Linked DNA regions of Diceros bicornis minor. The protein of the gene in region 1 purifies or fractionates together with the protein of each later gene. This does not show direct contact. Links are inferred from orthologs where the notes say so. Each region holds a gene or a part of one and is shown in the gene's direction. Other genes may lie near its edges. The genes, in order: CLSPN, ATR, TIMELESS and CDC45.

Evidence for each region.
Region 2: the proteins of CLSPN (region 1) and ATR purify together in Homo sapiens (affinity purification with western blotting; 3 studies listed by BioGRID). This does not show direct contact. The link is inferred for Diceros bicornis minor from reciprocal best matches to the Homo sapiens genes CLSPN and ATR.
Region 3: the proteins of CLSPN (region 1) and TIMELESS purify together in Homo sapiens (affinity purification with western blotting; 4 studies listed by BioGRID). This does not show direct contact. The link is inferred for Diceros bicornis minor from reciprocal best matches to the Homo sapiens genes CLSPN and TIMELESS.
Region 4: the proteins of CLSPN (region 1) and CDC45 purify together in Homo sapiens (affinity purification with western blotting; 4 studies listed by BioGRID and IntAct, with this or other methods). This does not show direct contact. The link is inferred for Diceros bicornis minor from reciprocal best matches to the Homo sapiens genes CLSPN and CDC45.

Annotation. Positions count from the first base shown.
Region 1 is NC_080752.1:50,040,465-50,047,528, reverse strand, and holds the start of CLSPN (claspin), read left to right. Parts: upstream 1-4,048; 5' UTR 4,049-4,138; coding exon 4,139-4,162; intron 4,163-6,534; coding exon 6,535-6,640; intron 6,641-7,064.
Region 2 is NC_080741.1:11,310,297-11,318,242, forward strand, and holds the start of ATR (serine/threonine-protein kinase ATR), read left to right. Parts: upstream 1-4,939; 5' UTR 4,940-5,019; coding exon 5,020-5,078; intron 5,079-7,946. UniProt on the Homo sapiens protein: Serine/threonine protein kinase which activates checkpoint signaling upon genotoxic stresses such as ionizing radiation (IR), ultraviolet light (UV), or DNA replication stalling, thereby acting as a DNA damage sensor.
Region 3 is NC_080756.1:12,398,554-12,406,310, forward strand, and holds the start of TIMELESS (protein timeless homolog), read left to right. Parts: upstream 1-4,755; 5' UTR 4,756-4,833; intron 4,834-7,757. Other genes in the region: MIP (lens fiber major intrinsic protein), read left to right, coding at 197-361, 798-878, 2,562-2,747. UniProt on the Homo sapiens protein: Plays an important role in the control of DNA replication, maintenance of replication fork stability, maintenance of genome stability throughout normal DNA replication, DNA repair and in the regulation of the circadian clock.
Region 4 is NC_080774.1:32,205,821-32,212,874, forward strand, and holds the start of CDC45 (cell division control protein 45 homolog), read left to right. Parts: upstream 1-4,049; 5' UTR 4,050-4,222; coding exon 4,223-4,273; intron 4,274-4,398; coding exon 4,399-4,458; intron 4,459-5,314; coding exon 5,315-5,407; intron 5,408-6,491; coding exon 6,492-6,629; intron 6,630-7,054. Other genes in the region: UFD1 (ubiquitin recognition factor in ER-associated degradation protein 1), read right to left, coding at 226-358, 3,344-3,346. UniProt on the Homo sapiens protein: Required for initiation of chromosomal DNA replication. Core component of CDC45-MCM-GINS (CMG) helicase, the molecular machine that unwinds template DNA during replication, and around which the replisome is built.

The DNA of each region.
Region 1 (7,064 bases):
TTTTGTTCCCCGTTTAACTTTCAGCCTTCGTTCTGGCCATTTCTCCCCCACCCCCACCCAAACACACACCCTATGCTCTAGTCATACTGACCTCCTTTCAGTTCCCCAAACACAACATGCACTATCAAGCCCGTACACATACCTTCTCCTCCCTGGGCCAGCCTGGAGAATTCCAACCCATCTTTGAAACTCAGTTCAGGAGTCATCACCCCCTGACTTACCCTAGGCAAAGTCAGTTTCCCCTCTCTCAGGGCCCCAGAGATACTTGTACACACTTCCACTATTACACACACTTATTTACTTGCCTGTTGCCAATCAGCAATGGGAAGGTCTCTGAGAACAAAACTGTATTTTATTTATCTTTATATTCTCCATATCTAGCAACTTAAAATTGGTACTCAAGGTTTTTTGAATGACTGCATGAATATTTGATAGGTACTTTAGGTTGCCAAAAGTTGTGGTAAAGGAACTTCTGCATACAAAATAGCTGATGGTGTATGTGCTGTCATGCCTTGGGAAAAGACCCTGGTATTTTTTGTTTTTGTTTTTTTAGGCCATGGTATTTTAATCATTCACTCAACAATTATTTATTAAGCACCCACTATGTGTCATATCCTGGGCCATTTTTAAAGGTCGGGGGTACTACATTAAGCAAGAAAAAACATTAAGGCCTTCAAGGAGGGTACTCTCCAAGAGAAGCTTTATAACTGTACGGAATTACAGTACTGAAGTTATTTTTGAAAGCAGATTCTGGGAGATGCAATTATTTCACCGTTCCAAAGGGAAATTTAAACAACTCTTCGAATAATTTTAAAATGAAAAAAAAAAAAAAGGTTTTAGGATAGAGTGGCTACAGGCAATAGACTGATATGATTAAGCTCTGCCACATGGTGGCAGTGCTTCTCCAGGGATGGAGATTTAGTGGCCTAGGACTCCGGAAAAGCAAGCAGTTCTCACACTTTCCTCCAGAGGAATAGTAGTACTGTAATAAAATTTAATATGGTAGCCTTTCTCAATTTGCAGAAAAGATGAAGTAAAAGATATAACTTAGCCAACTTTCTCCCTCCAAACTTCCGTAAGCCTTTGGAATCTGCTTTTGTTTGCCTGCCAGCAAACAAATAAATAGAACTTTGGAATGGGCTGAGCATGTTAAATTCCATGGTTTACTTTTTCATAGATATGTAATCTCAGATTTGCTTTTTTATATTGATTATGTGTGATATAATAATAGATCCTACTAGTGAAAACATTTCCTAATTTATATGACCAGATTAAGTGTGTCAGTACTGCAAAGTATTTCCTGTAGAGTACCATACTTCTAGGTGCTCTGCCAATTGAACTCTTTTGAGAATCATGATCTGAACCAATGTTCTCTTTTTTTTTTTAATAATTTTATTTATTTATTTTTCCCCCAAAGCCCCAGTAGATAGTTGTATGACATAGCTGCACATCCCTCTAGTTGCTGTATGTGGGAGGCAACCTCAGCATGGCCTCAGAAGTGGTGCGTCGGTGCGCGCCCGGGATCCGAACCCAGGCCGCCAGCAGCGGAGTGCGTGCACTTAACCGCTAAGCCATGGGGCCGGCCCGTTCTGAACCAATGTGTTCTAATTACAAACAAGGAAACTAAGGCTCTGAGAAGCTAAATGACTTAACGAAGTTCACAACGCCATTTACAGGAGAGGTTCAAGCTAATTCCTATAAAGTGAACACTCCAGATCTTTCCCTCGCTGCCATCTATCAACTTCATAAACAGAGCTTGTTGGATGATTAACCTTGAGAGTCAAGAGACAGAGAGGAGTCAAGGTGACTCCCAGGTTTCTGAATTGGTGAGTGATGGATTATGGCGCCATTCTCTCACCACAATTGAGAATACAGACTGCTAATTCCAAATACAGACTTGCTTTAGCATGGCACAAATTAAAATATAGAATAAAAGGTTTCTCCTTCCTAGCTCACCCCTTCCACCCATTGTTCAAATCAGAGCTCTCTCTCTTAGTTTCTCTGGTGACTGAAGAGGTGCTCCCCAAAGAGAGGAAAATGCTAATTCGTTCTGAAAATGTTACTACCAGGACTATCTCATTTATTCACTTCTAGAGGGGGTTCAAGAAGAAGAATAGAGTTGTCAAGTGATGGAATTAATTAGTTCAACAAATATTGATCAGTTTCCCTACCATGAGCCAGGTATGTTCTAGACCCTTGGTTCTCAAAGCGCGGTCTCCATACCAGCAGCATTAGCATCATCTGGGCACTTGTTAGCAAAAAATTCTTGGGCCTCACAACAGACATTCTGAATCAGAAACTCTGGGAGTGGGGTCCAACAATCTGTTTATACCAGCCCTTCGGATCATTCTGATGCATGCTCAAGTTTGTGAACGACTATTATAGATAGTGAGGATATGGTGTTAAAGAGAACAAAGTGCTTGTTCTCTTGGAGCAACTATATACAAATAGATAAAAATAAAATTTCAGGCAGAGGTAAGTGTTATCGGGGAAACCAGAACAGGAGACGGAGGGAGAATGTAGAGGGTGCTCAGGCAAGATGTCCCTGGAGTATGAGCTCTGGAGTCAGATTGAGCAGGGTGTGAATATTGGCACCACCAGTTACTAGCCCTTTAAAGGTTTAGTTTCCTCATCTGCTAAAATGGAGATAATAATATTACTTACCTTACACAGTTACTGTGAAGATTAAATAAGATAATGTTTGCAAAATTCTTGCAACTGTTTCTGTCACAGGGTAAGCCCCCAATAAGTGTTAGCCCTCCAAATATGAGGGAGGAGTGCTATAGATAGATATTTGGGAATCAACAATGTAGAAATTAATAGTAAAGTGGGTGAAAAGGTGGATAGACTGAGATGTGAGAGAAGAGGATGGATGATGGGACCCTGTTGATGGGAGCAGAAGTGGGTTGGGAAGTGGTGAGGAGGTGAAGAAATGAAGAGGAGGAAAGAGAACTTTTATTTGAACCCAGCTAAAGCTGGAAACTTGGAAGAAGAGGCCAGTGGAGAGGGTGACTAACCATCCTGGTTTGCCTAGGACAGAGGATATTCCCAGGATGCTAAAACTGGGAAAGTCCTGGGAAAATTGGGGTGAGTTGGGCACCCCACCGGTGGATAGACTCATGGGGGTAGGGTGGGGTTAGTAACTACTGTGATCTTTCTTTTTTGGTGCCCTCTGATCCCTTCCTTACAGTAATCTTGTAAAGTATCTTCCGGTAGCTTGACTCAACTGGAAGGGCAAGGGAGCTCTGCCAATGCAGTGGGGAGAAGTCAGCCTTGGCTGGACAGAGCAGGATAAGGAAAGACAGAGAATAGACCTGGAGGGGCAAAAAGATAGTAACCAGCACAGGGACAAGGGATAGAATTGTCTGGGATTAGTCTGACTCCAGACCTTTTATTCTCTTACCTGCCTTGTCCAGAGAGGGTAGGAGTGCGATGGGTGGGTGTTTTCTGCATCCTCAAATTAACCTTAAATAAAGTTATAAAGGTTATCCAAGGACATTCTTTGGTATCTGAGCAGCCCACACAACTTTTCCTTTTTGATGTTCAGTGGTGTGAGTGCCTTGTACAAGAAGGGGCAGGAAGGATCTAGCTACTCCAGGGATGGAGGTCGTGAAGAAAAGCCCCACAGGGGCACTCAAGTATGGGACAAGGATGCCCTTGGGTGCCCAGGTATCTTCTTCCAGCTCACTTCCCGCCTGAAGGGCTGACTCCTCAAATTGCGCTTGATGGGAGCTGTCGCGCTATGGCAAAGGGCAAAGGTCAAAGTCCACAACTGCATGGTACAGCCTTGCAAGGCCAGAGGGCCCGACTGCCCGGCAGCCAGGACACCTCTAGCCTCCCCTAAACTCAGTTGACAAGAGGACCCTCCACCCGCCAACCCAACCCTGATTACAGTACTGTATACTTGTAGGGCTGGCCGAAGGCGCTTCGTGATTGGTAGGACGGGATGGGGGCGTGGCCTCATGTAGAAAACCTCCTCCGGATTGGTGCAAATCGTCGAGGGCGGGGCTTGCACTCCGGCTGGGCGCGAAAGCTCGAACGGCGCTGCGGGGCTGGAGACGGCGGGAGCAGCTGCGCCCCGGCTCAGGGAACCGGAGAACTGCTTCGTCCGGAGCGGAGCGCTGGGGAGGCCAGAGTCATGACGGGCGAAGTGGTTTCTGAGGTGAGTTCATGCACATGCCTCCATCCGCGGCTGCGGGGGTCCGGCGCCGAGGGGTGGGGTGGGAGCGGGGTCGAGCCGGGCAAAGCCAGCGGCGGCGTCTGGGATGACTACAGCTCCCGGCGTGCTCTGCGGCGGCTCGGCCTCGCGGCCCCCCGGGATCAACCCGCTGTCCCCGGGGGCTCGCGACTCCGCCGTCCAGTCCTGGAGCTGGGGTTCTTGCCTCGGCCCTCTCGGTCTTGTTGCTCCTGTCTTTGTGGCGCGCCCAGCCCCTGCAGCCGCCCACCCGCCCTCCCCTTTGGCGCGTTTCCTGCCGAGGGAGCTCTTCCTCCTACAGCGCCCCAAAAGAGGAAATTCCAGGCTGAACCGGGCCGCTGGGATGCGGGGCGGGATTCTGTGTCAGTGGACGGCGGGGGTCTCAGGGAATTCGACATTGGCTCTGGAAGGGGCCTTTGAGGTCATTACACGGGGCCCCGAGAGGGGACGTACAGTCTCACGGCCTCCTGGCTGGTAGCTGACTGGTCGGTGGCAGAATTTGGCGGAGAAACGACATCTGTTTCCAGACCTGTGTTTCACCCTGAGGCCGGGGCTAGGGTGAGACACTCGCCTTGGGAGCAAAATTTAAGGCTTCGCCAAAAAAAGTAATCACGATAATATTTTAACGCAATATTTTTTAAATAAAAATTAATGCAAAAGATTCCATGATTTGATTTTGAACAAAATATCAAACTTTTAAATAAAGACAAGATCCGACCTTGCGCTTGCACTGCTCTGCCTAACTCACCTCACCCTAATCCCGGCCCTGGTTCCAATAAAACTTTACTTACATAAGCAGGCGGCTGACCTCATGAGCCATAGTTTGCCAATTTGATTTTTTCTTTTAAATATTGCACTAAGATATTATCTTGATTACTGATGGGTTTTTGAGACTCTCTCTTCTCACCCTTTTCCTGGCCCTGATTGTTGCTAGTACCACTGCAAATTGTCTGGATTGGAGTGAGTAAGAGCATCACCATGTACCTTATTGAATACAGTTTCTGTATGGACAGTCTTACTGCTTTGAATTGTTGGGAGGATCATCAGCACATACATGATGATCCTCAGTGATACCTCGGTGCACATTATCTATGGTTATTATTTTAATAATTGTACCAAACATTCAAATCAGTTTTTTTTTTTTGCTGAGGAAGATTCGCCCTGAGCTAATGTCTGTTGCAAATCTTCCCCTATTTTGTATGTGGGCCGCTGCCACAGCATGGCCACCCACCAGCAGTGTAGGTTTGCGCCTGGGAACTGAACCCCGGGCCACCAAGTGGAGCGTGCTGAACTTAACCACTAGGCCACTGGGCTTGCCCTCAAATCAATTTAATAGTTGTTTGAGAAACCATTAGGATGATGCCTTGTGCCCTGTTACATTACAGATGTTAGTATTTTCCCCCTTATTAATGAGTTGATTCAGAGCCCTAAGAACACGGAGGAGGTAGGAGACCTGGCGTCTAGGATCAGCTTGGTCACTAACTGGTTAAGTCACCTAACACATCCTACTTCTGAGATTTTTTTACTTGTGACTTTTAAAGTGGTTTTATTTGTAAAATTTCAAACATATGCAAACGTAGAAAGGCTGGTATAATGAACCCATCACCTAACCTCAACAATTATCAAATCATGCCAGTCTTGTTTCATTTATACCCCTACCCACTTTCCCCCTCACCGGATTATTTGGAAGCAAATTCCAAACATTATTTCATCCACAAATATTTCATTATGCATCTCTAAAAAATAAGGGCTTTCCAGAAAAGATAACCACAATATTATTACCACACCTAAAAGTTTTAGAATTATTGCTTAATATTAAATATCTAGTCAGTGTTCAGATTTCTTTGACTCATACATATACTTTCAATTTGTTTGAGTCGGGATCCAAACAAAGTCTGCATATTGCAAGTGTTAATATGTGTGTGTATGTATATATCTTAGCTCTCTTTATAGGTCCCCCCACCTCTTTTTTCTTGCAATTTGCTGTTAAAGAAACCACACAGTTTGTCGTATAGAGTTTTCCACATCTGGATTGCGTCTCTGTGATGTTACTTGGATACACTGAGAAACAGTTTACACAGAAAAAGCATAATAAATGCTTAATTATTTTCATTTATTTACCATTACTCAAAATAAAGGGTTGGTTCTATAGCATCCTTCAAAGGTGGACAATGAATTTTTGTTTCTTTTTTGTCCAGTAATTCTTAATATCATCCCTTCATTGAACCATTGTATGGTTTTTTTCCTTATTTCAGCCTGATGATCCCATAATGATTTGTGTATTATTATGTACTTAGTTTTCTTTCACCTGCTGGTTAATGTATATTCTCATTTTCTAGGTTCACCTAGAAATCAATGATCCAAAACTCATTTCACAAGAAGCAGATAGTCCTTCAGACAGTGGACAGGGCAGCTGTGAAACAATTGGGCCCTTGAGTGAAAGAGGTTTGTAATAGTCAGTACTTTTATTTTTAGGAATAGAATGTGGGGGCTTGGGTTGTAAGTGGATCGAATTAATTTCATTATTCTCTTGATTTATTACGTTATTAATGCCTAACCTTATTGTTTGTTTTATTTATTATAAAAGCAAAATAATGGTGCTTGTACCTTTTTGAAAATAACCCATTTCTATTATATTATTGAATGTATGAAATGTCTAGAAGCTACCACATTGCCTGGTTGAATACATTCGTCTTATAATAAAAGGATTTTTAACACCTGCCAGAAGGATTAGAACAACTTTACACATTGTAAATATATATAATTACATGTCTCAGTAAGAGACATTTTTCCAGGGAAAATGTTTTTCAAAATGTATTTTTAGATTTGCTTTGCTACAATCAGTTCTTGGTGATAGTTACATAATTTC
Region 2 (7,946 bases), on another chromosome or scaffold:
TGGATAGGAAGACAAATAGCTTTACTTTTAAGTTTCTTAAATAAGTTCCTCTACAAGAACTAGATAGGTTTGGTAATGGATTTTTGCAGTGTGTCTACTAAACGGGACAAGTGCATCAGTGCAGTTTGGCTGTACAGGATCATTTATTCTGCTTTATTAAGTTTCGGGATGTTGACTTATGGTTATGTTGGTCTGTTAATTGCAGCTTTATCCAATGACAACCAACAGACATGTGCCCCTTTCTACCCATTAATCTGTCTGACAATATTCAACACAGTCAAACTGCTGAAGCAGGGAATGGCATAATCATATCTAGGTTTTGAAAAGGTTGCTCCGTCTGCTGTGTAGAACTCCAAACAACATGAGCATCACCTAGGAGCAAATTTTTATAGATTATTAAAAATGCAAACTATTAACTAATAAATAATTTTTAAAAAGTATTTAAATGCAAATTATTGAGTATAACTGTACCAAGGAGGTGTACATTGAACCATTCAGGTATAGAAAGAAACTTATAAAATTGTTCATATTTTTTATCTCATTCCTTGAAGATTTCTATTTTAATCTATACTATAATGTGAATTATACAGTAAAATCCTCACGTAATACCATAAATGGGTAAAAAACATCCAATGCATTATGATGGAACTTGCAGAGCTAGGCAGCCAGGAGTTTGGGCATCTGACTGAGAACCAACTGCATCTTGGTCTCACTTGGGTTGTGGTGCCACCTGATGGTCATTTCCCATCCTAGTTTAATCAACAATGGGGACAATTCCATATACATGCTGTATGAAACTTCCAGGAGGACATTGGTTGGCGCCCCTTGGTTGACTTGATCTGGGACACTGGGGCTTAGGAAATACTAACGTCCCAAGGACACTGGGACCCACCTCAGCCTCTCTTCTTCCTGCCTCACTCTCCCTTCACACTCCACCACACCAAATGATAAAAGGGCAGGGGGCGGTGAGAGGAAGACAGGAACCAATCAACAGTTGTACTATGTCCAAATTTACATTATCATGAGTTATATGTATATTAAAATATAGTAATAAATATATATGGTTAATAAATAAATATGCACATATTAGGGTGCATACTTTTAAAATTTCAACAATATTGTTGAGTGAGCAAAAAAAGTTGGGGAATCTCGCAGTGAAGAGAATAGATTGGAGGGAAAAGCCCAAAGGAAGAGAGGCAACCTACAACACTGCTGAAGTAATCTGGGCAAGAGACAGTGATTATCTGAAACTAGAATGGTGGTAATAGGATTTGGAGGGAAGTGGATAGGTTTGATATTTAGGAGGTAGAATTGAGTCCTTACCATTTAAAGATATGAACTGAAGTATTTACAGAAAAATTGATATGATGTCTGGGATTTTCTTTAAAATAATCCAATTAGGGAGAGGGGCAATGGGAGGGGTGGTTATAGACGAAACAAAGAGCAGCCATATGCTGATTGGTGAAGCTGGGTGATGAGCATAAGGGGGTTCCTTATTTTATTCTCTCTACTTTTGTATATATTTGAAACTTTCCATAATAAAAAGTTAAACAAAAATAAAGTGCCTGGGAGAAATTCAAGGGAAAAAAAATCAGTAGGAAGGTAGACATATGAAATATAAAGCTCAGAGAGAGATCTGAGCAGAAGCAAAGAATTTGGGAGTGTCCAGCAGGTGGAAAGTTCATTGAAGCCTTAAGAGTGAATGAGGTCACCTAGGCATAAAAAAGAAAAAGGAAGCTAAGTTAGAATCCCGAGGAATACCAACAGTTAAGGGGATGGCAAAGGAAGTGTTGCTAACATGAGAATGAATCTTGTAGGCTAAAGGAAGTCAGTGTTCCAAGAAGGAGGCATTAGTCTATGTTGTCAAATGCTACTGAGAGGTCAAGAAAGGAAAGAACTGATAAGCATCTTTTGGATTTAGCCGTATGAAAATCATTGGTGACTTTGGTGAGAGGTGTTTAAGAGGGGGCGAACAGGGCAAAGAGTATGGTGTATGTAGGTTAGGACTGAGTGGTAGATGAGGAAATATAGTCAGCCTGTATGAAAAATTCAAAAAGTTTGGTGGAGGAGAGACGCATATGGCTACTGGAGGGAGGATATCTGCTTGGAATGACATCAATTGCTCCTTTATTGATACACTGCTAAAGAAGTTTGATTCTCTAAATGACCTACCACCTCCTTTTATTCTGTCCTGCACCTTCCTGCTAGATTTGAGTGTAGCTTTGACAGTGTCGCTCTTTATATAAAATCTTCCAGTGCCTCTCCATTGCTCACTGAGGTCTGTAGAAGCGTCTCAGTTGGACGACTCTAAATGTTTCCTAACACCAGCCAAACTGGACCACTCTTCTCTCCCTCAGTATGCTTTTTTTCATAGTGCTGCCTCTAGTTAGAATATAGTCCTTTCTCCAATCTTTGTCTCTTCAAGTCCTGCTCATCTTTCACATCTCATCTCAGATGTGGTGCCACATTCTCCTTGAGCCCCTTCCTGATCCACCTCCTTTCCACTGGAGTAGATATGATCTCTCCTTCCTCTATTTTTCTTTTTCTTTTTTTTTTGCTGAGGAAGACTCGCCCTGAGCTAACATCTGTTGCCAATCTTCCTCTATTTTGTACCTGGGTCATAGCCACAGCCCAGCCACTGGCAAGTGGTGTAGGTCCACGCCCAGGCCACCAAAGCGGAGCGCACAGAACTTAACCACTAGGCCACAGGGCCAGCCGCCTCCTCTATTTTTCCAGTGCATGCTGTTCATATCTCTCTTATGGCATTCATAGATGTTGCTTTGCTTTTAATTTTCTGGGTTCTTATCATACCCTTTCTACATCCAGATTGTATACTATTTGAAACTGTCTTACTCATTTTTGTGTCATAGAAGTACCTAACACAATACCTTGCACAAAAATCACTTTTTGAATTAAACTGGATTCGCAAAGCTCTATTGTTTCTAACATTTAGGGGTTTACACTGTGTTTTAGAATTACAATGCTATTCCGCTATTGCCTCCCATATAACATTGTAATTTTTACAATCTTTCTTCATATGATCTAAAAATAATACCTAACATTTGTTACTTTTTAGTTGATAAATTGTTTTTCACATGTGTTGTCTAACTTAAGCTTTAAAAAGCATATTTATTTTTTATACATTTTGGGATATCTTAACCATACAGATAAAAATAGTAATATGACATTCACCCAAATATAACAAATGTTAAATTTGTCATGATTAATTCAGATCCTATTAAAAGAAAACCCTCACAGATATGTTGAAACCTCATCATTTCATTTCCTTCTCTCTCTTTTCAGAGGTACAACTCTCCTGGCGTTGATGTACATCCTTCCCAACCATGTTTTTATACTTTTATCGTATATGAATGTATACATAACACACAAAGTCTTATTTTGTGGTTTTAAAATGGTATGTAAGTTATATAACAATATTATGTATCCCTTTGCAATTTGCTTTTTTCACTCAATATCGTTTTCAGGATTCATCCTTGTTGGCATGTGTTGTATATTTCATTCATCTTAACTAAGAAATGGTATTCTAATCTTTACCATAATCATGTGAGGCAGATATCATCAATCTCATTTTATAGATGAAAAAGCGAAGTCCGAGAGGTTAAGTAACTTTCCCGAGGTAATATCGTTTCTAGCAGATGGAATGAGAACTTGCGCAGGCCCTCTAACTCCTAATCTTACGTTCTTTCCACCTTGGCATTCAACTACTTAACAGATATTTACTGAACACCAACTATGTGCCAGGCACTGTTCTAGGTCCTGGGTATCTAAGCAGTGAAAAAAACAAAAAAGATCCTGCTCTCAAGGAGCTTACATTCTAATTGGAGGAGACAGTCGATAAAATAGTATGTAATACATCGCTTGCTTCCAAGTGCTATGAAGAAAAATAAAGCAGGATAGAGGGGAAAACACAGTGTGAGCGTGTGTGCAGGTCTACAGGAGGCTCTCCGGTGACATTTCAGCAAACGTCTGAAGAGGGGCGATGGGAGAGGGGTGTTCAAGGTCAAGGTAGAGGGTACACAGCAAATGCCAAATCCCTGAGGCAGGCGCATATTTGGCTGTCATTCCATCACTTTGATTTTTTTAGATACTGCATCCACAATTCTCCTCACGTGCCAAAGAACAAAGGTAAGCACACTGCACGGCTTTGCCTGATTAAATACATAATTTTTACACGTTAACAGTCTCTTATGATGGCCATCTTTCGAATAAGCAAATTGGGCTGAGCTAGAAAACGTCTACAGCCACAATGCATTGATTTACTTTAAAAATTAAATCGTCGGTGGTAGACGCCCGTAACGGTGACATTCAGTGTACTGCTGCTGATCTGATGAGACACACATAAATACAATTCAATCCCTTTTGAAATATTAAAGGTTAGGAGAATCCTCAAGGAAACCGAAGAGTGACTTCAAGTTGAAAAAAGCTGCTGAAACAGAAAGGACAGGGAGGATCCCACCTGCTGCCCCGCATCTCTCAGCAAGGATGCCAGGAGAGCGGTAGGAAAATGAGGAACCTGAGGGCCTTACGCCGTGGGGAGACCCGGCATCTAGTGGTGGCCTTGACTCGCTGAATCGTCTCAGTTCTCACACCTGTGATGCGACCGAGTCTGGGCTGGGGCCCGCCAAGCCCCTTTCTCCCCGAGATCCGCGGGACTCGCTTCGCTGAGCCTTCTAGGCTAGGAGGCACGGAGCGCAGCCGCTAAAACCCAAGCTCGGCGAACCCCGCCCCCCCAGCGCGCCGAGCTAACCCGGAACCCGCGCAGGGAAAGGTGGCCGCAGCGCGCGCCACCGGCTCGCCCCGCCCCTTTCTGCCTCCCGGCCTCCCCCGGGTCCTACGCGGAAACGAAATACCGCCTCCAGAGCGGGGCCGGCGGCGGCTTCCGGGAGGAGTTTTGGACCCCGCGAGTTCCCGTCGGGCGCCGCGGCTTCCCACCGGAGTAGCTGTGGAGACGCCGGCAGTCCGCATCGGCGTCGTTGACGAGTGCCGCGCGTCCTCAGCATGGGCGAGCATGGCCTGGAGCTGGCGTCCATGATCCCCGCCCTGCGGGAGCTGGGCAGGTAGGGCGAGCCCGGCAGTCCTGGATCCCAGGTCCTTCCCCGCCGGCCCGGCCGGCGTTTCACGTGCTCTCCGTCCCCTGCCGCGCGCGTCCGGGCTCCGATCCCCTCCGCCCCGGCCCCTGTGGAGATGCTCCGCGGCGGACCGGAGCGCTTCCCCTCAGAGGGGCGGTTCAGGTGACGCGGGGCGCCTCCAAGGACCTGCGGGAAGCCAGGCCGAGGGGAGGGAGGCGTCTGCCGGCCGCACTTTACCTCAGCGGCGCGAGGGCGCTCGTCCCCAGCCGGGGCTGCCCTCTGCAGCTGGGGGGAAGTGTCCCTTCGACCGCTTTTCTGGTCACTTGACTCCACTCACTCGCTTCTCGAAAGCCTCTCTCCTTTTAGATGAGGGACTTGACCCGTAGACATTCCCCAGTTTCTAGTCTTTAGGAGCGCTCGTGGAGGAATTGGGTTTTTAGCTTTATGTTTTGACCCAAACTGCCCTTAACAGAAAAAATCGCTGGTTCTGATTTTGTGTAAGGCAGGCCAGTTGCTCGAAAAGGTAGTTTCTATTTTCGAGGTGAAACCATAGGCCGTTCTGAAGATGGGACCCCTTCGGTATTGATCACCCGGTCGCCAATCCGTTATTTTAGTCAAAAGCCGGGGATCGGCCGCAACGTCCACAAAATGGAAAGTGCACAGGATGTTGCCAAAATCTGAAGACAATTTAATATTGTTTCACTTGCAAAAGCTTGTTTTCTGTAAATCCTAGAGTAACATCCTGTGAACCAGTGTCCTGCCGGAAGAGAGGGGAGAGTGTTGATGGCTCCTGTCCCCTTTAATCCACGCGGCCGTCCCTCAAACAGGCCTCGAGACTAGAAGGCAGGGGTTTTGTTTGTTTTTTTAATATTGTAACCCACTGTGAACAAGAAATAAGTGGGCTTGTACCACCACTGCACTGGAACTACCCATTGGAATAGCTGCTTTCCAGTTTCTTAAACTGTTGGAAAACTTAGCACAAACGAAGTCAAAACGGTGGTTAAGCCCCTGGGATATTTAATTGCCTTTCTACTCGCGGTGCAGTTGTGTTCACCTCCACTTGTTGGCCATACAAGGACGTTTAGTCTTCCTCAATTACGTAAATAAGGGGCTAAATGAAAAGACCATGCTTGTCTTAACTGAATCATCCTCTGTGTGTGTGTGAATTTTTCTTTGCATGCATGTTGCAAGCACACTTTGCGTTAACGTTTAGTCGGGTAACATCTAGCTTTCTAAAAGATGAATACAAGTGCTCATTTTAGTTAGTTGATGGACACATTTCGTTATTCAAGCTCAGCATGAAGCTCAGTGTGTTTTCCCTACTTTGCTTTCATGTAGAATTAACTGATTAATACTTCTCTTCCCTATTCTCTCTTCCTCTGTGAGACTTGTTAATAAAAATAATAGCATCTTGGATTTATTTACAGTCTCTTTCATAATAGAGCTTGTGTTACCTTTCATTTCATTCATTTGTAGCCATTCTAAGAGAAAGAATAGAAAAACTGATCCAAAGAGAAATGTCTAATACTAGTTTTTAATTGTCATGACTTTTTCATTGCAACTGCTTCATTCAAGCTTGTTCAATATCACGGTAGCTTCATGATATAGAATGAAGCAAATATTATCACTATTTGTTAAGAAACTGAGTCACAGAGATTGAGGAATCAAAGTCAGAGAGACAACAGTTATCGGAGCTAGACTTCAGAGTCATACCATCAAGGCCTCTTCTCCCCAATTTTTTTTCCTTAATTGACTACGACAATTAGATTTCGGAAAAAAGCGAAATGTCACTGTTCTAATGTGTGTGCTCCTCTTCCTCTGTCTCTCAGGGCTAAATTTTGCTCCTCTGTTGTTTGCTGTTAGCACTCTTTTCTCTGCAAAGTCTTTCTGGGTGATCTCATCCACTCTCCTGCCTTCACCTACCATCTGCTGTTTGACGACTCCAAGTGTGTTTCTCCAAACCATATCTATCTCCTGTAGCACTATAGAGAACTATATACTAGCAATTTTACCTGGGTGTTATATGTGCAGTTGAGATTCAGCATATCCAGTACAAATTCTCCACATATCCAAGTCTCCCCAAGCTTTTTTTTTTTTTAATTCTTCTCATTCACTGAGGTAGGGATATCTCAGTAAATGATACCATGTTCACTCATTTTTCCAAACCAGAAGTCTGGGAATCATTCTTGACTCTCTAAGTGCTTTGGGGCTATTTCCTTGGTCCTCTTTTCATCTTCACTCTCTTCCTAAGTAACTTTAGTCCCAGTGCTTTAAATATCATCAATATGCTGATAACTCCCAAATTTCTATCTCTAGCCCAGAGATATATGTTAGGTTGCTTACTTAACATCTACACCTGGAAATGAAAATTAACATATCCAAAGCAGGACTCCTGATTTACTGTCCTTAAACCTGTTCCTTCCCCAGGTTATTGTATATGTACCAACCAAAAGCATAGGAGTTAGCCCTGATTCTTTCTCTTATCCCTCAATCCATCAACAAGTCCTGTCAACCCTACCTTTAAAATACTCTTCTGGGGGCTGGCCCAGTGGCCTAAAGGTTAGGTTCTCGTGCTCTGCTTTGGCAGCCCGGGGTTCACAGGCCAGGATTCTGGGCGCGGACCGATGCATCACTTGTCAAGCCATGCTGTGGCGACGTCTCATGTAAAGTAGAGGAAGATGGACACGGTTGTTAGCCAAGGATCAATCTTTTCCTCAGCAAAAAGAGGAGGATTGGCAACGGATGTTAGCTCAGGGCTGATCTTCCTCACATGCACACAAAAAAATACACTTCTCACCATCTCTACTGCTATCACCATAATTTCTGATCTGGACTATTACAGTAACCTCTCAGCTG
Region 3 (7,757 bases), on another chromosome or scaffold:
GTGGGTGCAATTTTTCCACCAAGAAGGAGTATTATTAGGAGAAATTAAAAGAGAAATGCAATTACTATGAAGGAGGATGTATTATCCTTCCTCTCCAGGGAACTGATGCCATAAGGGCTTCCCGCCTGGGAAGCTTTGAGGAGCTAACACTGTGGCAGCCCTAATGAGCTGCCTCCCTTCTTCTTCCTTTGCCCAGCTGCACCCTGGGGTGAGCGTGGGCCAGGCCACCACAGTGGAGATCTTCCTGACGCTCCAGTTCGTGCTCTGCGTCTTTGCCACGTACGACGAGAGGCGGAATGGCCGCCTGGGCTCCATGGCCCTGGCCGTTGGCTTCTCCCTCACCCTGGGGCACCTCTTTGGGGTAAGCAGGAGAGGGGAACAACTTCTCATTTAAGGATTCCAGGGCCCCTACACCTTTCCCAACTTTTAAGTTTCTTCCTGCCCAGCTCACTGTTGAACATGAACATTATCCACCTCCCTCTGTATCAGTCAGCACAGAGGAGTCAACTCTGCTCTAGCCCTCTCTCTCTTGTGACTGCTATGCTAGTCCTTCTGGACCCCAAGGTGGTAATGCATGCATCATGGGTAGATGTGGGCTTTGCTGATGGATCCGTAGTCTGTCCCCAGATGGAGCATCAGTGCCTTCACTCCATTGTGGGACCCCCATGCAGGTTGTCCTTCCCTACTGGCTGCTGGCTGGAGGCAAGGTGCCAGCCTTCAGGGGCATGCGGGTTGTGGGAAGAGGAGCTGAGGTGGAGTAGGGGTAAATGTCTCAGTTACAACTGTGTCTCTTGCAGATGTACTATACTGGTGCAGGCATGAACCCTGCCCGCTCCTTTGCTCCTGCCATTCTCACCAGAAACTTCACCAACCACTGGGTGAGTGAGGGGAGAGGGGCAAGATCCTGCAGCCCTCCTGGATGGGTATAGACTGCAGGTTCCAGGTGTGGTTCCTGCTTTCCCTCTGGATGTGTGGACTGTTCTACCACCACTCAACACTAAGGGGGCTGTCACAGAGTTTGGCATGCCTGTGTGAGCAGGATTCTTTATTTTGCTAGAAAGAGAGGCTCTTGCTCATATTGTTCCTTTGCTGGTTAGTCAGGCATTTTTATTAAGTATCCACTGGATTCCAAAACTAGTACTAGAACAGACAACTGAACAGGAAGACAAAAACTTCTACTCTCAGAGATCAGGTTGTGTATGAGCACAAATGGGCCTGGGCTCGTCCCTGTTCTAGCACTTTACCAGCCTTGTGTGTGACCATCGCAAATAACTCAATCATTCTGTGCCTCAGTTTCCTTACTATAAAATGGGGGTGTTACAAAGAATAAGTGTGAAAGCTGTATGTGTGAAATATTTAGCACAGAATCTGGTATGGAATAAGTCCTCAATAAAAATTGGCAGGCCGGCCCCGTGGCTTAGCGGTTAAGTGCGTGCGCTCCGCTGCTGGCGGCCCGGGTTAGGATCCCGGGCGCGCACCAACGCACTGCTTCTCCGGCCATGCTGAGGCCGCGTCCCACATACCGCAACTAGAAGGATGTGCAGCTATGACATACAACTATCTACTGGGGCTTTGGGGAAAAAAAGGAGGAAGATTGGCAATAGATGTTAGCTCAGAGCCGGTCTTCCTCAGCAAAAAGAGGAGGATTAGCATGGATGTTAGCTCAGGGCTGATCTTCCTCACAAAAAAAATAAATAAATAAAAATTGGCTATGTTTGTGTTGTTTGGCCATACGCCAGCCAAACATAAGAAAACAATTCAAAAAGTTTTTCAAAGCTGTACACCCATTTTCATGGTAGCATTATTCACAATAGCTAAAAGGTGGAAGCAATGCAAGTGTCCCTCACAGATGAGTGGATAAACAAAATGTAGTATATACATACAGTGGAATAGTATTTAGCCTTAAAAAAGAAGGAAATTCTGATGCATGCTACTACATGGATGAACCTTGAGGATATTACGCTTAGTGAAATAAGCCAGTCACAAAAAAGACCAGTACTGTATAAGTCCATTTATATGCGGTATCGAGAGTAGTCAAATTCATTGAAACGAAGCAAAATGGTAGTTAACAGGGGCTGGGGAGAGGGGAAAATAGAGAGTTGTTGTTTAATGGGTATAGAGTTTCAGTTTTGCGAGATGAAAAAGTTCTTGAGGTTTGCTGCACAACAACATGAATATACTTAACACTGCTGAACTGTACACCTAGAAATGGTTAAGATGGTAAATTTTAAGTTAAGTGTATTTTACCACAATTAAAAAAAATTTTTTTCAAAGCAATATATAAACTACTGCAAACTGATAACAACAAATAGAATATACATGTGCTAAGAAGGTGTGGGATAAGGTATAATTTGATGAGTCAGAAAAGAAATGGTGATTTTTGAGGTGCAGGCAGTGGAGCAGTCCAGAGTTTAAAAACAAACACTGATTTCTGCTTAAATAGTGCTCAACTGTGTGCGCCAAGTGCAGGATGCCTGTTTTCCACCGATGGGGTTGGAAAAAGAGCAGCCTTGTTCCTGGTCCCCTCCCCAAATCTGATTACTCCTCTTCTCTTCCTACAGGTGTACTGGGTGGGTCCAATCATTGGAGGGGGCCTGGGCAGTCTCCTCTACGACTTTCTCCTCTTCCCCCGGCTCAAAAGTGTTTCTGAGAGACTGTCTGTTCTCAAGGGTACCAAGCCCAATGACGCCAATGGACAACCAGAGAGCACAGGGGAACCTGTTGAACTGAAGACCCAGGCCCTGTAGAAGCTCCAGTGGCATAGAGGGAGTAGGAAGCTTCCGGGTTTACATGGAAGGGCTGACCCAGCCCCTGGATGAAGAAAGAGGCTGTGGGGAGGGGCATGTACTTCTTTATTTTTTAATTTATGTGTGTGTGTTTTTTGCCTTTTGCTGTGTGAAATCTTTCAAGTTGCATTCATGAGCTGGTTGGTACAAACTTCCCTTCCTCCCCATCCCACCTCTCTTTGCCGCTGTGTGTGCATGATTGTGTGTATGAATGTGACTGAATGTGGCTGTGTCTGAGTTCTGGGGCATGGCAGGAGAGGTAGGGAAGGGAAAGGAGGTGTCATCCTATACCTTCCTCTCCCAACCCGGTGTGCTGAGCATAGGGAACCAAGATCTTAAGCTTCTGGCCTTCACCCTGCTGCTAGTCCTGTGTATGGCTCTAGGTTTCTGAGGGAGCAGGGAAGCAGGGAGTACTCCTCACAAGAGGCAGGTGGAGAGAAGTGGAGGAGACAAAGCATTCCAAGGGTTGGGAGAAGGGGCCGGGGGCAGGGAGAGAGGAAATGGAGGTACTAGCCCCAGATCAGGCTGCAATTGTACCAGAAAATTTTGGGAAAGTTAATCGGAGAATGTAGTGTATTTATCTCAGGGATGCTTGCCCCAGGGACTTGGGTGGGGAAGTAGCTCTGAGAAAAGCGAACACTGGACTTTGAACTGTTCTGTAAAGCCACATAAACCTGTGGACATCCACTGGCTGGGTTTTGTGTTCATTCTGGCATGATGGATCTCTTTGGAGGCCCTGGGCCAGCAAGCTCCCAACCTAAACAAGGGGTGGGTGAACCTAGAATCTAGAAAAATTAAGTAGTTTAACTGATCTGCCTGATATTCCTCCAGCGTGGCCTCCAGGCAGGTGGTACTTAAGCCCCAGAAGAGCTCCCTAATGCCAAAACAGGAAATGGGATGCCTGGAGCAAATGCAGAGGTGGGTAGTGGGCATAGCAGGGAGAGGCTTAGACCCTCAGAGTTTTAATTTACTTAGAGCAGATCAAAACATTCTTCAAATGGCATCTTTCTACTTTTATCACTAGTTTTATAGTCGTCTTTATTTTCCTTTTTTGTGTGTCTTTTCACTTTTCTCTCATCTGTCCTTCCATCTTCAGCAAATCTCTCTCTCTTTTTTTTTTTCTTGTGAGCAAAATTAGCCCTGAGCTAACATCTTTTGCCAATCCTCCTCTTTTTGCTGAGGAAGATTGCCCCTGGGCTAACATCTCTGCCCATCTTCCTCTACTTTATATGTGGGACGCCTGCCACAGCATAGCTTGATAAGCGGTGCGTATATCAGCCCAGGGAATCGGAACCTGCCAACCCTGGGCCAACGAAGCCGAGCATGCAAACTTAACCACTATGCCATCCGGCCAGCCCAGCAAATCTCTTCTAACTCTCCTTATTCCCCAGAAATCAATTCCTTGTACTAAAACGCTTAACAATTCAGGAGATAATTATTCGTTTGAACCCTATCTTCTTTTGTTGTTGGCAATATACACTCATCTCAGCAGAGGCCAAAGGAGACCCTCAACTGACCAATGAATAGTTATTGTGGATGTCTTCCTTTTAGGAGCTTCCTGCATACTTCGCAAACTTTGGGCCTGTACCTCTAGATGACAGACATCCCCGCCCCGCAAAAAGTCCACTCTTGCCGGTAGCTCAACTCTCCACTTCCTCCCAAATAAAACCTCATTTTTCTAATTAATCTTATAAGACTTTGGAATAATCCACTTGACTAGGAGAAGGGGAAGAACGTTTGTAAATTCACCTCTAATAGGACTTTGATTCCTATTTTCTTAAGTCAGCAGAAAATTCATAGCGCTGTGATTTTTGGCTCAATGTAGGGGATCGACTCAGATAAAACGGTACTTGTACTTGCTTCCCTTTTCCTTACTTCATCACTAACCGCCCTGCCCCTCGGGGTCACATGGACCAGCCCGGCTCGCCCCGCCCCGCTCGCCATGCAGGCGGGGACTGGGCCTGCCAAGCCGAGTGGCGGGAAAGGCTGTGGTCCCACGCGTGAGGGCCGGGGTTCCGCGGGGATCCTGAGCGCCGGCGGGGAGCGGGTGAGTGAGTGTGTGGGCGAGAGGGCTCTAAGCGGGCAACATCCCTTCGAAGCCGCGGGGACACTCCTGGGAGGCGCTGAGTCCCCTTTCCCGCCGCCTGGTTTGAGGGCAGGGGGCGGGGCGCGCGCTTTAGGCGCGCACGCGCAGTGGCCCACCCTGCGTCCGCGGTAGCTGCTCAGGGTTCCCCGCTCGTCCAGGGTGCTCCCTCTTCCCCGCGCCCTTCTGCACAGCTTGGTCCTCGTGCGGGGGTGGGGCTGTGAGGGGAAGAGGCTAGGACGCTCTGAAGTAGAACAGAAAGTTCCCGGGCATTTCCACCTGGCGACTCCCCAAGCAGTTCAGACGGGAAAAACCAGATGTGCAGCTTGGTGGTCAGCAGCAGTCGGAATTCCCAGCTCGCTTGACTTAAATCTTGGGTTTTCATAGGATGGATTTAACATTCTCTTCCGTTCTTTCCCTCCGGTATAAGACTTAAGGAGGATAGCCTCTGCTTGGGCTTGTTTGCTGGACCATCAGCCATTAATTAAGCTCCTTTCCTTGAGTCTCTCAATTCTTTACTCGGCCCTTCATGCTACCACTAATTACCTTTATAAAAAGGCAATCTGGTCATTTCAGATTAAATTTACAACTCCTCTTTGGCTACTCACAGTCAGGCTTAAATCCTTAGGTGGGCTGAGAGGGTCAGGGTCTTTTAGTCTGGGCCTGACCCTCTCAGCCTCAATTTCGAAAGCTCCCTCACATTTTTACTGTCTCATGCACTTGACTCCCAGCCCCATATCTGCATTGTGCTCTTTCATGCCTGGGTACCTATGCTCCTGCTGTTCCCTCTACTTGAAGTTCTGGCCACTTCTCTGCCAAATGAACTTCTCTTTCAGAACTGAACTCAGTTGTCCCTCTGAAAACCTCTATTTTTCTAGCCCTTCTAGGCCAAAGTAGTCACTTCTTTGTTTCTCTGAGGTGTTTTACCTCCCTCTATTATCAGTGCACTTAGACAACTCAGTAAAAGGTCACTGAGCTCCTAACATGCACTGTGCAGTGTGCTCAGTACCAGGTGGACAGAGGTGAATAGAATAGTTTCTGCCCTGAAGGAACTCGTAGTCTGGAAGGAAAAATACATGTAAATGAGTCCTCTGCAGTTACCGGCTGACAAAGAAGTCTGCCCTGGCTTCCTTACTCCTCCCACTCCGAACTCTCTTGAGTATTCTGATGTACTTTCACAGCGTCACATACCATTTTATAAACTGATGCCTCCAAATCTCCAGCCCCAACCTCTCTCTCAACTTTGAGACTTGTCTACTTCAGTTTAGAAAGCATTTATTGAGCACCTACATTGTTCTGGTCACAATAATTCCTGACCTCAAGGAGTTTATATATGTATATAATATATATATATATTTTGTGTGTGTGAGGAAGACCGGCCCTGAGCTAACATCTGTCGCCAATCCTCCTCTTTTTGCCGAAGAAGACCGGCCCTGGGCTAACATCCATCCCCATCTTCCTCTACTTTATATGGGACGCCACCACAGCATGGCTTGACAAGCAGTGCGTCGGTGCGCATCCGGGATCTGAACCTGCAAACCCTGGGCTGCTGAAGCGGAACACCCGCACTTAACCACTACACCACCGGGCTGGCCTCTCAAGGAGTTTATATTTCAGTGCAGTTGTTTACAGGAGATTGAGTTAGAATCACCTGAGGAGCATTTTCAAAACAGTCTTGTCCAAGACCCACCCTCTGTAAATTCTGATTCAGTCACTAGACTCTGAAAATTCAAAGGTGAATAAGAAACAACTCCTGCCCTCAGGGAATCTAAGGCTAATGGACGGAGACAGACGTTTTAAATAGTCTAAGTATTATATACAATTTGAGCTGTAAACACCATGATGGAAGTCTGTTTACGGCACAAAGTGGACACAAAGGAGAAAGAGGTCGCTTTTGTATAGAGAAATCAGGAAAAGTGTCATTTGGGCAGAGTCTTAAAAGATGAGTGGATAGACTCTAGGTGGATGAGAGAAAGGCATTCTGGGCAGAGTGTCTTGAGAGAGAAGCTTGAAAGGTAACCAGCAGGCAGATCGTGAAGAATGTTGTATTGTAGGCAATGGGGGCCACTGAAACTTTAGTTTTGTATAGTAGTGCATGCTAACGGTAAACAATTCGAATAGTACTGAAGTGAAAGATAAATATTTCTCCTACCCTAGGCCCTCCCATTCTCCAGTTCTCCTCAGAGACAATCGCTGTGAAGTTTCTTCTTTTTTTTTTTTTTTTGCTGAGGAAGACTACCCCTGAGCTAATATCCATTGCCAATCATCCTCTTTTTTTTTTTTTGGTTGAGGAAGATTAGCCCTGAGCTAACATCTGTGCCAGTCTTCCTCTGCTTTGTATGTGGGACACTGCCACAGCATGGTGAGTGGAGTAGGTCTGCGCCCGGGATCTGAACCTGTGAACCCAGGCCACCAAAGCGGAGTGTGTGGAACTTTAACCACTCGGCCACGGGGCCAGGCCCTGAAGTTTCTTGTGTATCCATTGAAGGGTTTTAAGCAGGGTGGTTATATGGCCAAATCTGGTATCCATATTGTGGATAGATTTAAGAGAACAAGACTGGAGGCAGGGAAGGAGGTTAAGAAGCAGTTGAGGAATCTAAGCAAGAGATACTCAGGACCTGAACTAAGGCAGTAGCAATGGGGATGGACAGGGGCCAGAGAGGAGATCTTAAGGAGGTGGAATTGGCCTGAGTCAGTGACTCAAAGTATTTAGGATTACTCCTAGGTTTCTTATGTGAATCACTGCACGGATAGTGTCAGTCCCTGAGAGGTCCAAAAGAGAAGTGGAGACAAACCTGGGGAGAAGATGTTCTGTTTTGGAGATGTTGATTGTGAGGTATCTTTGAGACATAGATAGAGAATGCTATTCATTAGTATAACATGGTATC
Region 4 (7,054 bases), on another chromosome or scaffold:
AAGAATTTACTTGCTAGAATTTACTTTGAGGAACCTAATGGCTACTAGCCATAAATCTAATCATAATTAGGATTCCCCCCACCCCCACCAGCAGGCCTGAGGCAAGCAACATTTTCACTGTAACTAGCTCTGGTTATACATGCAAAATAAGGACTGTTGAGGACTATAAGCACTGCAGGCTGAGGGCAGGAAAGGTTACTATTCAAAATAAAAACAAGCACATACTCTTCCCTCCTTTCTCCACATCTGACCTGTCATTAGGCCCCGCAAGCATGGACACGGAGAAGCAGCGGTACTGTGTGGAGAAGCGGTTCTGGAAGACCCGGGGAATCGGGTGGTCAAACATGTTGAAAGAAAACTAGGAGGAGGAAAGAAATGCCGGAGTTAGAACAGAACAAAGGTACATTTCTTCTCGTCAAAGCCCAAACAGGTCAGGGTAGTTAATGCCGCTAAACATCATCAAAGAACAAGATGCCCCCAAATCCTGATGGACCAGAGCAGTCTGCCTGAACACCTCCCAGCAGCACAGTGAATCTCAAATCTCTCTGTTCTACACATTCTTCCATGCCAAGTCTCATCTCTCCGATTTAGTCTCCACTGTTTTCAGATGGTGTGAACATACTAAAATATAAAACTAGCCACATCAAGCCTGTCCTTAATCTCTTTCAGCCCCCAAACACCACAGGATCCAAGCCAGACCTTGCACCCACCTCAGGGACCGGTTACTGATGGCCCCAAAATCTCCTACACCTGCCACGTCCCCGCCAGGCTGGTTCCTCCACCTGGAACACTTTTCCTCTTCTCATTAATTTAAAAAATCTCTATTTATTGAGTGCCCACTATCTGCCAGGCTCTGACTTAAGCACTCGGGAAACATCACTCTAGTGATGTCTGCTCACCAACAAAACAGGTACAATCTCTGCCCTGGTGGAGCCAACATTCAAGATGAGAGAAACAAGCAAAAGAAAATGCCTGCATGTCTGGCAGTGATGAAAGCTCTGAGGACAAGAGAGGTAAGGGACAGAGACCTCCTGGGAATGCTATTTTAGATGGGTGGTCAGGAAGGGACTCTGCAGAGACCTGAATGCCAGGAAAGGGAGCCAGGCAGAAAGCAGGGAATGGCATTCCAGGCAGCAGCAAGAGCAGGCGCCCAGTGTTTGCACCCCTTCCCGTTCTCCTGGCTTCATGACCACCCTTTCCTTGCTCCAGGAACCTTCCCTGCTCTGCCCAAGGTCTGGGCTGGTGCCCCTCCATTGTGCTCTCATGTGCTACACTGTGGTACTCCCTCCTGTTAATAAGTAAAGCCAAGATGTGGTGTCATCAAAAAGGTAAGATCTCAGCTCTTACATTGTGGATTACAATGAGGCTTAGAAAACACGTTACACAGCAATCTGGGGTCTTCTCAAAGTATTGCAATTCCCTTGATGTTTAAAAAAAAGAATACAAAATTGCACAATAGGGTATATATCCAAAAGAACTGAAAGCAGGCTCTTGAAGAGATATTTGTAGACTCATGTTCACAGCAGCACTATTTACAATAGCCAAGAGGTGGAACAACCTAAGTGTCCATTGAAGCATGAATGGATAAACAAATTGTGGTATATCCATACAATGGAATATTGTTCAGCTTGAAAAATGAAGGAAATCCTGTCACATGCTACATGGAGGATGAACCTTGAGGACATTATGCTAAGTGAAATAAGCCAGCTACAAAAAGACAAATACTATATGATTCCACTTATATGAGGTCCCTAGAGTCATCAAATTCATAGAGATAGAAAGTAGAATGTTGTTGCCAGGGGCTGGGGGAGGGGAAGTGGGAAATTGTTGTTAGATGAGAAAGTTCTGGAGATCCATTACACAGCAATATGAATAAAATTAATACTACTGAACTGTATATTTAAAAATGTTTCAGATGATAAATTTATGCCATGTGTTTTTTACCGTAAGTTAAAAAAAACCCTCACAATAGACAAATATTTCTTGACTTGATTCCAAATATAAATGAAGTAGAGAGCAAGCCATCTACTGACAAGGTAGTTTCCTGGCAATTCCAAAATTAGTAAGCTGAATCAGCTATCTTTCTAATATGCAAATACAGCATGCTCCTGATTAAGATCTCAAATGGCTCTTCACTCCCTGGAGCTCCAGCATAGCAGTTTTCAAACCTTTCCCTCTCTTTTTTTAAACAGCATAACTCTGTTCAACAAAATCTTGGCCAGAAGCAGGACAAATGAAACAGGATTTCCAGATGAAAGAAGGGAGAGAAGCAGGCACCTCCCTGAGCCCTGTCACTACACTAACTCATGTAAGCCATTTCTTCTCTTTACAACAGGACAGAGTAAAATACACACAAAGTACTTAATATCCCTAACAATCTGCCTTCAATCTACCCATGAACCTGACCTTCTGCCCCTCTCTGCTGCTCCCAACCCCAAGTTCTACTTCCCTTTACACCCCCAATGCCTAGCATATTACCAAGACCTATCAGGTATTCAATGTCCATTAAGTGCATGGACTTGAGAATAGAAACGTGATTCAACACTGACATACCTGGGATAAAATCTAATAATCATTCCTTGTTTTTATGAAAATAAACAGCTGACACTGAGGCAATGCTGTACAATGGTAATGAGCCTGAGCTTTGCAGCCAGATAGACTTGGCTTCAAATTTCCACTCCTCACTTTTGTGACCTCAAGTAAACTATCTACCTCTTTAAACCTTAGTTTTCTCATGGTTAAAATAATGATCACCCATGCCTCCAAGTGCTTCATAAGGATTAAACGGGATGAGTTGTAATGAGCAACTGTAGGTGTTAAAAGAAAAAGCTGCGTAATGGAAAAAGGGCCAGTAAATATTAGCTACTACTGTTATCTTTACTGAATCGCTTAAATAGCCGAAAGCATCATCACACTCGAGGCATGACCAAGAAATACTGGGCTTGAGGAACTGGGGTAAGGGGATGACCCCGCGCATTCTCACTGGGAGCCCCTGATTCTGCTCCTCGCCCTCACAACCTTCCAATTAATTTGGTGTTTACGGAAACATGCTACGTGTCTAGCACTTGCAACTAGAAGCTTCCTTTTTCCCCTCAAGAAGTTCAAGTCCAACTGAGGAAATGCGAACCATGCTCCGCACAAGCGGAGAGAGCCGAGGCCGTTAGCGGTGAAGGGTTCGGCTCCAGCCCGAGGCGCCCCGGACGGGCAGACGGGCCGGACTCCGGCCAGGGTGACTCGACATCTCCGTAGCCGTCACGTCCGCCCCGCCGGGCCCCGGCCTCGGCCCTCAACCCCAGCTCCCGGCCGCAGCCCCAGCTCCCGGCCCCTGCCTGGCCGCGCTTACCATGATGGACACCTCTGCCTCGCTGCCGCCGCTTCGCCCAGGGAACGTAACGATGGCAGCCCGCCGACCGCTCTCCTCACAGCCGCCGCCGCCGCCTCAGCTCCGACCGCGGGGAGACTCACCGGAAGTACCGGACCTGAGACCCGGGGGGAGGCGCCGAGGGCAGGGGTCGGCTGCAAAAGAGAAAAAGCCAGGCAGAGGCGCTAGGGTCTAAAATTTCCCCGGAAAAAGCACTAAAATACCCTTTCCTAAAGTGTGCTCCACTCTCGAGTAATTTTTATAATTACTTTAAATTACATTTTGATAGTACTCCCCTCTAGAGGAGTTTAGTGGGGCCCATTCTCCTTACTGACTACACTACCCAGAATGCATGTAGACCTTCCGGCCTTTGCCGCAGCCATCCAGGACTCGGGCGGAAATAAGCTACACATCCTCCTTCAAACTAGACCGAGAGCCTAGTGACATCGTAAACTGACGCCCCCGTTCGATGTATAAATTAATTTAATTCATGACGAAAATGTTTCTTTTTCTTGGAGCTCCCAGTGGGAGGCTATAGGCTTCTCTTCCCAAAGTAAAGATGTCCACCGAGCGTCGGGTTTCTGGGTAAACGGGAGTCAGAGGTGAAGTGGACAGCCCTGTTTGCGTCCCGCCTGTTGATGACGCTTTTTTCGGTCAGGGCCGGACTGTTCCAGCGGAATGGCGGAGCGCTACTGCCCGCCTCAAATATGCTCCAATCAAAAAGGAGGAAAGGCTGGGCACTAAGTAGCTATTGGTTGGCCCCTAGGCCAATCGGAAGAGCTCTGATTTGGCGGGAGTCTTGACCGCGGCCGGAGCTCTCCGTGTCTCAGAGAGAGCTCTGGGCGTCCGGCCGCTGTGGCCATGTTCGTGTCCGATTTCCGTAAGGAGTTCTACGAGGTGGTCCAGAGCCAGGTGACCCCCTTTCTTGGACCCTGAAGCCTTGTCGGGGGGAAGGGATAAAGGGGAGCGGCCGTGGGAGGGCGGGAGGGGCCCGGGTTCGTGTCGCTGCGCTCAGCTCGCCGCTCTTCCCCCGACAGAGGGTTCTTCTCTTCGTGGCTTGGGACGTGGACGCACTGTGCGCTTGCAAGATCCTTCAAGTGAGCCCTGCGGACCCTGGGAGGGTGGGGCCGGGGCGAGAGGAGAGGGTGCAGGGTGGGCACGGGCGGGTGGTGGGGGCGCAGGGTGGGCAGGGAGTGGGGCGGGAAGTGAAGGCTTAGATTCCGGGAAGTGAAAGCTTAGCGTCCGGGGGGAACAGGGTGGGGTAGGCAGCCGGGCGGGAGGTGAGGAGCGGGGTAAAGAACCCCCTCTGGGGTGAGAACTCAGGCTCCCAGTGAGGCCTCCGGTGAGGGCCGGAGCAACGACAACTGAAAGCCGGGAAGGGGGACTCTGAGAGATCACCTCCCTGGCAGGAGAGTATTGGGCAGGTTTGAGAAGGATTAGGCAAAAGGCAGAGACTAGTTAGTTTTTTTGCAATAACCTAGGCAAAAAATGGCTGCATTCGAGAGACCTATAGACCCATAGTGGCTTCTCAAATGTGGGATTTGAGACAGAGGAATCTGTGACAACTGAGTGCACAGTGGTGTCATAAGCAATACTGGAAATACAGGATGCAAGATCATTGGTTCAGTTTTGAGTGTGGTGCGATGTTTACAAGAACTTTGGTCAGGCACTTGGGTCAGGAACTACTTTAGGTCTCAGAAGACATAAAAATAAGACCAGCTTTTCTCCCAATATTTTCCTTTGGTAGTTTTTAAAAAAATTCAGCAACGTTGAAACGTTGAAAGAATGAACAGTGAACACTCATATCCCCATTACCTGGTTTCTCCTATTAACATTTCACTAACCTTACTTTATCCATGTCATTTGTCTCTCAGCCACTTGTTTTTAACTGCATTTCAAGGGAAATTGCAGACACCCTAATTAAGATAGGTTTTGAAAATCATCTCTCTCCAGGCCCTGTTCCAGTGTGACCACGTGCAGTATACGCTGATTCCAGTTTCTGGGTGGCAAGAACTTGAAACTGCATTTCTTGAGCATAAAGAACAGGTATGAGAGATATATTTTAGAATGATTAGGCTTTTTTTACTCAATTGCAATTTCTCAACACTTAGCATTCTTTCTATTTCCACAGTAGGTTGCATGTATATGTAAGTATCAACTATATTAGGCAGTACGGAAGAGAAAACTGAGCTGTATGCCCGTGTGAGTTGTGGAGACAAAATGGACAGCGAAAGAAAGATAGTGAATACGTATAGCCTTTAACTTTGAACTTGTGTTGCTGACATTTCTTTCTAAGCTGCTTGGAATTTAGCAGTTAGTTTTTGATATGGCCTAGTTAAAATTATTTTAGATTAGACCATTATTTTACATTGTCTCTCCAAGAAAATGTATTCCAGTTTCCAACTAGAAATCTAGGAACATATCTTCTCCCTTTGTAATTTAAACAGTAGAGGCCAGTACTCCTACCACCTCTGTATGGAGCTGTAATGAGATGTGGGACATCTTAGAGCCCACTGCCCCACAGCTGCCTGGAGTCTCTGGCCACATCTAGGATTGTCTGGCAGAGATAAATCCTTGCCTGGAGCTCATGTCATCACAGAAGGGACCTGTGCCAATTCGGTGTTTATAAGGAAAGGATTCTCTATAGTGATAGGATATAATAAAAGACTTAATTTAATATTTAGGTGCCCATTAAGTATAGGCTGCCCAAGATTTGCTGAAAGTGTAAACCTGTACAATGCTATTAGTATGGAGAGGCAGCACAGCAGACTGAGGTCTGGAGAGGCCCAGTTATGCATTTGAAGTTTTGATCTGCTCCACATCAGCTTCTTGCCCCTGTGCATGAGACTCGGCCATGCTGACCCTCTGCATGCTCCTCAGCGAAGTGGAGACAGCCGTGGTGCCAGCGTGGAGCCTATCTCACGGTGTCATCATGAACATGAAATAGCATATGGTATATGTTAAAGCTCTTAACACAGGCCGGCCATGGCCATTTTTGGAGCCTCTTGCTGTCAGGGCCTTGCCAAGTGTCGGAGGCTTGATGTTTCTCAGCGGAAGGACTCAGGCCTAGTATGCTGAGGTAGAGGGCCTCCGCAATGCACTTAGTGCACAATGTCTCTTCTTTTTTCAGTTTCGTTATTTTATCCTCATAAACTGTGGAGCTAACGTAGACCTATTGGATATCCTTCAGCCCGATGAAGACGCCATATTTTTTGTATGTGACACTCACAGGCCAGTCAATGTCGTGAATGTGTACAATGATACCCAGGTAACTAGGGCTTTGGGGCCCACGCCTCCCCCAAGTTCTCCCATTGATCTGACTGTACCTTTTAATGCCACAGACAACATTGCACCTGGTGTTCTTGGCAAGGCACGTATCCACCTCCCATATAGGAGTTGGAGCAGCCTGAGGACAAGAACTTGTCTGTCTTTGATGAGAAGCATGGCACTTTACCCTTGGAGGTGCTCAGAATGCATTCGTGGAATTTGCTTGACCTGGGAGGTGTAGATACCAGAAGCCTGCATTGAGTCTGCCCTTGGAGCTCAGGCCAGCCCAGTCTCATTGAATATCGGAATCTCAGAGGAGTTTGCTCTATAAATGGGGCTTGGACCTGCCCTGATCATCCAAGGGGTGGTGTAGGGACCAGCAAGATAGCAGTGTGAGCAGTGTGAGAGGCCACCGTGAGCCTAAAA